Linked DNA regions of Drosophila melanogaster. The protein of the gene in region 1 purifies or fractionates together with the protein of each later gene. This does not show direct contact. Each region holds a gene or a part of one and is shown in the gene's direction. Other genes may lie near its edges.

Region 1 (2,815 bases):
ACAAAATCAAATACAAAATGTACATATATAAAAAGATATCCTTAAAATGCAACTGTTTGAACAGCTCTCACTGATTTTTAATTTTCTAATATAACCAGTTATACCAGTTTAAATCTAATTGATTTTATATTGTAATTTTATTATACGTTTTATATTTAATTTATTCTACATATTAAATTAAATGAATTTAATAATATTTAAATCTTTTTTCTTATATTTCAAGTGTAAATGATAATATTAATTTTATTTTAGAGAACATCGGAAAACTTCGATGTTACATCCACGATTTTTGTGAAAAACATCGATGTTTCGCGCTGAAACTACTACAATCTTTGAAATTAGATTCCAGAAAAAAAAAAAACAATTTATCCTATGACGATGAATTATGCGGATCTCGCCTATATAGATTCATATATTTCTTATTAAACTATTTCATTACGCTAAGAAATGAACAGTGTGGCATGTACATATATGCTGTTAAATATTTATATGAGTGGCTTTTATAAAATTAATTATTAATTATTATTCGGTTTTTTTTTTACGATTTTTTCGATATGTAAAGCGGACACACGAAATGAAAAGTAAATGCCTTTTTTCATATTAAAACAGAACTTATTTACTCAAGAGAAGAAATAGTTTACTCAGTGGTCTATTGATGCTTATTGCACATCATAACAAGATCATTCTGCCACTAATTTATTTAATAAAATTTTTATTGCTGACGCCACTTCAGATTTGACTAACAAAATTTTGATGTCGGCAACAAAAGTTTGGATTTGTCAAGGGGTCAAACATTGTTGGTGAAACGAAACAGGCATATAAAATATATAGAAGGAATTCATTAATTTATTTAAAGGAGAGCCAATAGTGTTGTTTGTAAATAATTCTATTTGATTTAATTACTTAAGTGGTCAAAGTGCCACAAAAAAGAAATTGCGGACATCGTAATTAAAACTATGAAATATGTGGCAGCTATGTTGTCTGGAACAGCTTAAACAGCTGTTTACCGCTGAATGCATATTGCGATATCCAAACTATAGAACAAATTTTCCAAAAGCAGAGCACCTAAAAAAGAAATCAAAAGATTTTGGCTAAATCGAATTCGAAAAAAATTACGATTATCAGATCATGAATGACTTTTCTTAAAAGGGAGCAAATTAATACTGAGTAAGTCCCACGGTAGTAAAGACTTAGGCAGAACGGTTCCTGAAAATTAAAATTATTAAATGGGGCAGGACTTTATCTTCCTTAAGGTTATATGTATCTTCAAAATTGTATCAACAAATTCGCTTAAATCACAAATTATTCCCATAGCGCATATTAACGTCTTGGAGTTGAACACTTCTCTCAGCGATTATTTGTATCTAGACATTTGTATGTAGTGCAATTTTATATATAATGTTTTTATATAATGTAAATATATGTATTACATAAATATTGCATTAAATCCTTATTAATACCAAATATTCAGACTTGGGACTATTTTGCTTCTCTTAAAAGATTAAGCTTATTGTGTAACTTAGTGTGGACGGTACATAATATTTAGTTTCTAAACTCTTAATTGCTATCAGTGGCAACGCTATTCAAGTAGCCATCTTTCTTTCTTTTCTCAACTATACGACCGCGTGGACGTAAGTTCAACGAGTTTTGTTGAATATTTCTTCATTATGACTTGAAAAAGATCTAATAAGCCTCTTTTTTATAGGGGATTATAAATAAAAATGACCAACTCAAAGGGCTATCGTCGCGGCACACGGGACATGTTTTCCCGTCCCTTCCGAAAGCATGGAGTTATTCCGTTGTCCACATACATGCGGGTTTTCAAGATCGGCGACATCGTTGACATTAAGGGACATGGTGCTGTACAGAAGGGTTTGCCCTATAAGGCATATCATGGCAAAACCGGGCGCATATTCAATGTGACTCAGCACGCCGTTGGTGTAATAGTAAACAAACGCGTAAGAGGCAAAATCCTTGCTAAGCGGGTCAATGTGCGCATTGAGCACATCCACCACTCCAAGTGCCGCGAAGATTTTTTGCGCCGCGTAAAGGAAAATGAGCGATTGCTGAAGGAGGCGAAGGAAAAGGGACAATGGGTCAGTCTGAAGCGCCAGCCGGAACAGCCGAAGAAGGCGCACTTTGTTAAGAAACTTGAAGAACCGATTGCTCTGGCCCCGATTCCATACGAATTCATTGCCTAAAGGCATTTTACTGCTCGGAAATTGTACGGAATGAAATAATATTTGATATAATTTCAGTAAACAAAAAAAATGTGCCCAATATAAACAGACTTTGTAATTTTCATTTTGCAATAAGGTCGGCGTCCAACTAAAGTTTTGATCAGCGACAACGTCTGCTTATTATTGAAAGGTTTTTATGTTCAAAGTCATTTGATACTAATTACCTACCATTTTGAGTAAAATGTTCTCGACTTGTTTATTTATAAACATTTATTCACTCAAACCACAGTAGCTCACAGATTGTTTCTCGCAGTTGCGAAATTGCTGCTAGACTAAGAAAGATAAAATCAAATCCGTCCTCAAGGCTACGGCGAATATTTGATTACATTTATGTCTGCGGACAGTGCTGGAGTAATATATACGTGAGGGCATTTCCAGACGAGCCAAGTCTTGACAATTGCTGCTGTGGTTTGGCCTTTTCTACATTTTGCATCAGGCTTGTGGCCTTTCAGTGCCACATACGCCAACCATATCGTGATCTCCGTCATGCTCTCCCATAGGTTGTTTTGAAGCTCTGAAGTTGATCGACATCCATCAAAACTAAAATTGTTTAATTTGTGTGCGTTAGCAAAAAC
Region 2 (7,997 bases), on another chromosome or scaffold:
ACGAATAACGAAAGCTGACGACGAGATAAAATACCTAAACAATTCCATAATGTAGCTATATAGGTGGATTATGTAACGAACTATGTCTATGTGCAGCATTTAAGTTTCTCTTCATCATCTGTTCGCCAGCGGGCGTCAAGTTGGAGTTTCAATAGATGGAAAGCATACGAATTTATAATGGGTATCCGTATCCGTATCTGCATCCGTATCCATATCCGTATCTGTATCCGTATCCCCAATTCGGTTGCGTTCTCCACCTGCCGCGTTGCCTGGCCAATTTAAAACAATTTCCGAGCCAATTATGAAAATGAATTATTGTTTGTTAAGTTTTATTTTATAAGACGGCGCTGCACTGACCGAAGGGATATTTTGAGAGTATAACCCAATTTAATCAAATTTCGCAGCAATTATTTTGTTTTTTATGTTTACAATTTGTGTTTTACGTTTTAGTGCAATTTTTTGGCATACATACATATTTATACAGATATTTTTGTATTCTTTTCGCAGCGTTCTAAATGAGTCATTCTAGTTTTTATTAGTTGAATTTATAAACACAAAATTACTTAACGGAAATTTCAAGCGTAACCCGTTGATTTCCTATCAACTCGATAATATGTATCTATAAAATATAATTTAGCTATTTCTACGTATGTCTGTGCATGTGTGTATAAATCAAGCGGGCGAAGTTGTGCAATTGTTAGAAAATTTTTAAAAGAAAGATATTTAGTAAAAATACGAAAATCAGAAATCGATGTTGAAAAACAAAACGCTCGTGCAATGACAAACAAAATTTTATTAATAAAGCGTTAAACAAACAAATTAAAGACAACATGAAATATACATTATGATATATTTATATATACAAGTATGAATAATGTACGACTATTTACTATTTTTTGGCTATAGCATTTTAAACGCATATATTGTATGTTTAACGTTGAAAATGGAAAAAACAAACAAAACAAGAAAATACATCAAAAAAAATTGTAAAACTTTTATGATTGGTTGCTGTAATTTGGCAAAAGTAAAAGTGCAATTCCAAATAAAATTCAAACAACCATACAAACAGCAGGAATCTGGGTCTTTTATTTATTTATTATCTATGGAAAAACAATACTTTTTCTGGAATGTAAAACTATTTTTCACTTAAAGGCGGAAAAATAAAAATAATGCTTTCTAGCAGTGGTGATTAAATTTATTGATTCTTACTGATGTCTTCTTCCAAAATAAAATTTAAAAAAAAAAACTAGTAAATTAAAATTTTTTTCCTATTTTAAACTTCCCCGATAATCAGATGCCAGTTACTCAACTATTGGAAATGCGAACGCAAATTAGATATTGGTGAATAAAATAAGAAAAAAAATTAAAATTGTTAAAAATTGTAAGCGTGGCTTTTCGGCGGTTTGTGGGAGTAATAGTAGTTTGGCAGATCAATAGAAATTTACAAGACTAATCAAAATATGAAAAATATCACATTTTGCATAACTGTGGGCGTGGCAATTTAAAGTTTTTTGGCAGATCGATGGAAATTTACAAGACTAATAAAAATATGAAAAATGTCAAAACATTTTGAAAATGTGCGTGGGAAGTTTTGGGGGCTTTCCGTAATCTCAATTTTCTAGCTTCTTATTCATCCTGAGATCTCGACGTTCGTACGGACTGACAGATGGACGGAAAGACGGACATGGCTAGATCGACTCGGCTATTGGTCCTTATATATATAATATATATAATATATTATAATATATATAATTTATTAGGTCGAAATCGGTTTCTTTTGCCGGATACATGCTTTTCAACGAATATAGCATACATTTGACTCAACAAGCAACATGTATACAAAACATGTATAAAAATATACAAATATAAATAGAGTCCCCACTTGAATGGCCCGCCTAGTCCGTATGTTCCTATCAATAATCGATAACAGAAAACACTTTAGCTGTGCCGCTCAATAACTTATCGCCCACCCCTAAGGCCTCCCATCACTAAAAAAGACTGTGACGCATTAAAAAATCGTCTATTAAAAGTCGTCAGTTAACTCGAAACCCTCAAAAGTAAATCATGGGAAAAAAAGATAGTGAGTTGTCCCACCTGCAGGACCATACAGCTATTCAAATATATGCACTTTCCAATTACCACCCCAGAGAACAAGAAAGGAGGACAGGATAGCGCTGCAGCACCACAGCCCCAGCAGCAGCAAAAGCAACAACAACAACGGCAGCAACAACCACAGCAGCTGCAACAACCACAGCAGCTGCAACAACCACAGCAGCTGCAACAACCACAGCAGCAGCAACAACAACAACCGCATCAGCAACAACAACAAAGTAAGTGCAAAGTGCGATATATCGGCGTAGGCAAAAAATAGATGTATGCATGCATGTACATACATATGTTTTGTACATATGGATTTACCATTTGCAATCAAATGCTCCATAAACTTTCGAAATGCCTGGGAATTCCCGAATTCGTGGCAGCCATGATGAAATTCAACTGCCATGGTTGTATAGAACCTATGTATGTGTGTATTATACTTAAAGGTGAATTCTACTGTATATAACAGTTATTGAATTTCCCCTTAACATAACTAAATTAAAATTCCTTTATATTTAAAAAAATGAATTTTGCTATGAAATGTAACAGTTGTGCTTTAGGCAGAAGCATCAAACAATTAAGAATTAAAATCTGCTCAAATCTGTAAATCTTAATCTTAATTTATACCAGATCCGACATTTTAACTCAATTATAAACTTATTAAAAATCTGAAAGATGAAGCGAAATTGAACATTTGACATCAATATATCTTTACATTTAAGGTTATGTACATACAGTTTGTCAAGAAACTGTTTACACACTGTGAAATAAGTTGAATTTTTGACTTTAAAGCTAAAAATAAAGGGTTTTTTGCTTAATTAAACGCAATTTTTTTATAAAATATAATTAAACAATATTTATTTTACTTATAAATAAAAAACAAATTAAAAATATTAAATATACAAGAAAATAAACAACAAATTCCAGGTTTACACACTTTTGAGACTGTCAAGAAACTCTTTACACATTTTGTTTTCCTACTTTGTTTTGTTCTTTTTCTTAGAACGAACTCGATTTTTCCGTTATTTTTGGCTTCGCATTGCTTTTTACAACGCTTCTATTGAAATTTGTTGACTTTGCTTGTGAAATTTTGCTGATCAAACGTGCTTAAAGCGAATTATTAAATTTAATAAAATGCCTGGAAAGAGATTAACTTTTGAAGTTACCCAATTAATAAACTATAACCACCAGTTGGGAAAATCTTTTCCAGAATTAGTATAAATGTTTCCTGTATCCCGTAAGACCGTCTACAATGTTTTAAAAGGCTCGGAAAAAGAGGGCAGGCTTGAACCTAAGAGTGGTGGTGGACGGAAAATTAAAATTAAAAAGCGTGTAGACCGCTTTATTATGCGAATAGTGATTGCGAACCCCCGAATCTCGGTCAGATCACTTGCTCTGGATATCAGGCAAGAATGCCACCTAACTGTGTCACACGAAACTGTGCGCCAAGTCATCCTACGCCATAGGTACTCTTCAAGATTTGCAAGGAAAAACCCTTTGCTATCAGATGCCAATATGGAAAAGCGTCATTAATTCGCTGTGAGCATGATGGATCATGCGGAAGAGTACTGGGATGACGTCATATTTTGTGACGAAACAAAAATGATGCTCTTTTATAACGACGGGCCAAGCAGAGTATGGCGCAAACCGTTGAGTGCGCTAGAAAAACAAAATATCATTCCAACGATAAAATTTGGAAAAATGTCACTGATGATGTGGGGCTGTATCACCAGCCGTGGAGTGGGAAAACTAGCCTTAATTGAGAGCACAATAAATGCCGTGCAATATCTAGAAATGTTAAAAAACAAATTTGAAGGCCAGTGTAGAAAAAATTAGTCTGGTTAGCAACAACAAGCCAAATTTTAAGTTTTACCAGGACATGATCAGAAACATAAAGAGTGCAATGTACGCACCTGGCGCCTTAATAACTGTGGTAAAGTGATCGATACGCCCCCTCAGAGTCCTGATCTGAACCCCATTGAAAATTTGTGGACCTACTTAAAGAAGAAGGTGGCAAAAAGGGACCTAAAACACAACAACAGCTTATGACTGTAATAGTCGAAGAGTGTGAAAAGATCCCGTTTGAATATGACCTGCAAAAACTTGTCCAATCCATGAAAAAAAGGCTTCAACTTGTAGCTAAAGCCAATGGGGAACATACTACATACCAAAACTTTTAAAATTTTAATAAAATAATTAAAAAATTTAGGATTAAACTTCGATTTAGTGTTTTGTGTAAAGAGTTTCTTGACAGTCTCAAAAGTGTGTAAACTTGGAATTTGTTGTTTATTTTCTTGTATATTTAATATTTTTAATTTGTTTTTTGATTTATAAGTAAAATTAATATTGTTTAATTATATTTTATAAAAAAATTGCGTTTAATTAAGCAAAAAACCCTTTATTTTTAGCTTTAAAATCAAAAATTCAACTTATTTCACAGTGTGTAAACAGTTTCTTGACAAACTGTATGTATTTTAAAGTGATACAAATTATTTTCGCGTTAGCAAATTCAAATCAGCCAAGTGAATACTTTTCGAAGAGTTTGCTTGCAGTTTTTTCGAAACCTAACACCTATTGTAATAAACATTCTTTGTCGATTTCTAAATCTAGGTTCGAGACAACAGCCATCCACAAGCTCAGGCGGATCCCGTGCATCTGGGTTCCAGCAAGGAGGCCAACAGCAAAAATCCCAAGACGCAGAAGGATGGACTGCACAGAAAAAACAAGGCAAACAGCAGGTACAAGGGTGGACTAAACAAGGTCAACAAGGTGGCCATCAGCAAGGACGACAAGGGCAAGACGGTGGCTACCAACAGCGTCCGCCTGGACAACAACAAGGTGGCCATCAGCAAGGACGACAAGGGCAAGAAGGTGGCTACCAACAGCGTCCGCCTGGACAACAACAAGGTGGCCATCAGCAAGGACGACAAGGGCAAGAAGGTGGCTACCAACAGCGTCCGTCTGGACAACAACAAGGTGGCCATCAGCAAGGACGACAAGGGCAAGAAGGTGGCTACCAACAGCGTCCGCCTGGACAACAACAAGGTGGCCATCAGCAAGGACGACAAGGGCAAGAAGGTGGCTACCAACAGCGTCCGTCTGGACAACAACAAGGTGGCCATCAGCAAGGACGACAAGGGCAAGAAGGTGGCTACCAACAGCGTCCGCCTGGACAACAACAAGGTGGCCATCAGCAAGGACGACAAGGGCAAGAAGGTGGCTACCAACAGCGTCCGCCTGGACAACAACAAGGTGGCCATGAGCAAGGACGACAAGGGCAAGAAGGTGGCTACCAACAGCGTCCGTCTGGACAACAACAAGGTGGCCATCAGCAAGGACGACAAGGGCAAGAAGGTGGCTACCAACAGCGTCCGTCTGGACAACAACAAGGTGGCCATCAGCAAGGACGACAAGGGCAAGAAGGTGGCTACCAACAGCGTCCGTCTGGACAACAACAAGGTGGCCATCAGCAAGGACGACAAGGGCAAGAAGGTGGCTACCAACAGCGTCCGCCTGGACAACAACCAAACCAAACCCAGAGCCAAGGCCAATACCAATCTCGTGGACCACCTCAGCAACAGCAGGCTGCCCCATTACCATTACCGCCTCAGCCAGCCGGGAGCATTAAGCGCGGAACAATCGGCAAACCCGGGCAAGTAGGCATCAACTATCTGGACCTTGACCTGTCCAAAATGCCTTCTGTGGCATACCACTATGACGTGAAGATCATGCCAGAGCGTCCCAAAAAGTTTTACAGACAGGCATTTGAACAATTTCGGGTGGACCAATTGGGCGGAGCAGTTCTTGCCTATGATGGCAAAGCCTCTTGCTACTCGGTGGATAAGCTGCCGTTAAATAGCCAAAATCCGGAAGTGACTGTAAGTTGCAAGAAATTGTCTACTAAGTTATGAACAACTGGGAGTAATAACATTTTTAAATGTATACAGTGGCAGTTAAATTTAATTTAATCTATACGATATTTTAGTTGTTTTTATTTCTTATTATTTTAGGTGACAGATCGTAATGGTCGTACTTTGCGCTACACGATCGAAATCAAGGAGACTGGTGACTCGACCATTGACCTTAAATCGTTAACTACGTAAATATAAATTATGTTTTTTATGGATACTCCTATTGAACGCGCTCCTCTGCAGTTATATGAATGACCGAATTTTCGACAAGCCCATGCGAGCAATGCAGTGCGTGGAGGTTGTTTTGGCTTCACCCTGCCACAACAAAGCCATCCGTGTCGGTCGTTCCTTCTTTAAGATGTCCGATCCTAATAATCGTCACGAACTGGATGATGGATACGAGGCCCTGGTCGGTCTGTATCAGGCATTTATGCTGGGCGATAGGCCATTTTTAAATGTAGATATATCGCACAAATCCTTTCCGATTTCAATGCCGATGATCGAATATTTGGAGCGATTTAGCTTAAAGGCTAAAATCAACAATACAACGAATTTAGATTATTCGCGACGCTTCCTTGAGCCATTCCTCAGAGGCATTAATGTGGTTTACACGCCTCCTCAGTCGTTTCAAAGCGCTCCAAGGGTATACCGTGTAAATGGTCTTTCTCGTGCCCCGGCCAGCAGTGAGACCTTCGAACACGATGGGAAGAAGGTCACCATTGCGTCCTACTTCCACAGTCGCAACTACCCATTGAAGTTTCCCCAACTCCATTGTCTGAACGTTGGATCTTCAATCAAGAGTATTCTGCTGCCCATCGAGCTATGCAGCATCGAGGAAGGTCAGGCCCTAAACGTGAGTTCACTAAATTCCTTTATATCTATATCTTGGTGTTCAATACCGTAAGCTATATTGTCATTACATATACCTATAAACATATGTATTTCACAGCGCAAGGATGGAGCAACTCAGGTGGCCAATATGATAAAGTACGCAGCCACATCGACGAACGTGCGAAAGCGCAAGATTATGAACTTGCTGCAATACTTCCAGCACAACCTGGATCCGACCATCAGTCGCTTTGGCATCCGCATTGCCAACGATTTTATTGTGGTAAGCACCCGCGTCCTAAGCCCACCTCAGGTTGAATATCATAGTAAGAGGTTTACTATGGTGAAGAACGGGTCGTGGCGCATGGATGGCATGAAGTTTCTGGAGCCCAAGCCCAAGGCGCACAAGTGTGCGGTCTTGTATTGCGATCCGAGGAGTGGTCGCAAAATGAACTATACCCAGCTGAATGACTTCGGGAACCTAATAATATCCCAAGGCAAGGCAGTCAACATAAGCTTGGATTCTGATGTGACATACAGACCGTTCACGGATGACGAACGCAGCCTAGACACTATTTTCGCGGATCTGAAGCGCAGCCAGCACGATCTGGCAATTGTGATTATTCCTCAGTTTAGAATTTCTTACGATACAATTAAGCAGAAGGCCGAGCTGCAGCATGGAATTTTGACGCAATGCATTAAGCAGTTCACCGTGGAACGAAAGTGTAATAATCAGACGATTGGAAATATTCTACTTAAGATCAACTCCAAGCTGAACGGCATCAACCACAAGATCAAGGATGATCCTCGTCTGCCGATGATGAAGAACACCATGTACATTGGAGCCGATGTGACCCATCCCTCTCCCGATCAGCGCGAGATTCCCAGTGTGGTCGGAGTAGCAGCCTCACACGATCCCTACGGAGCCAGTTATAACATGCAATATCGTTTGCAGCGAGGGGCTCTGGAGGAGATTGAGGACATGTTCTCGATTACTTTGGAGCACTTGCGCGTGTATAAAGAGTACCGTAACGCCTATCCTGATCATATCATCTACTACCGAGATGGCGTGAGCGACGGCCAGTTTCCGAAAATCAAAAACGAGGAACTGAGGTGTATTAAACAAGCCTGTGACAAGGTAAGTTTTTGAATTTCCTCACT

What was found. Proteins that work in one complex are often made in the same cells at the same time.
Region 2: the proteins of RpL21 (region 1) and AGO2 purify together in Drosophila melanogaster (affinity purification with western blotting, with the first as the bait; one study listed by BioGRID). This does not show direct contact.

The regions. Positions count from the first base shown.
Region 1 is NT_033779.5:22,246,612-22,249,426, reverse strand, and holds RpL21 (ribosomal protein L21), read left to right. Parts: upstream 1-1,551; 5' UTR 1,552-1,631; exon of another isoform or gene 1,632-1,644; intron 1,645-1,705; 5' UTR 1,706-1,721; coding exon 1,722-2,201; 3' UTR 2,202-2,281; downstream 2,282-2,815.
Region 2 is NT_037436.4:15,552,143-15,560,139, forward strand, and holds the start of AGO2 (argonaute 2), read left to right. Parts: upstream 1-1,970; 5' UTR 1,971-2,064; coding exon of another isoform or gene 2,065-2,080; 5' UTR 2,081-2,122; coding exon 2,123-2,330; intron 2,331-4,680; exon of another isoform or gene 4,681-4,707; coding exon 4,708-5,975; intron 5,976-6,107; coding exon 6,108-6,196; intron 6,197-6,251; coding exon 6,252-6,861; intron 6,862-6,957; coding exon 6,958-7,974; intron 7,975-7,997. UniProt on the Drosophila melanogaster protein: Essential for RNA interference (RNAi); double-stranded RNA induces potent and specific gene silencing.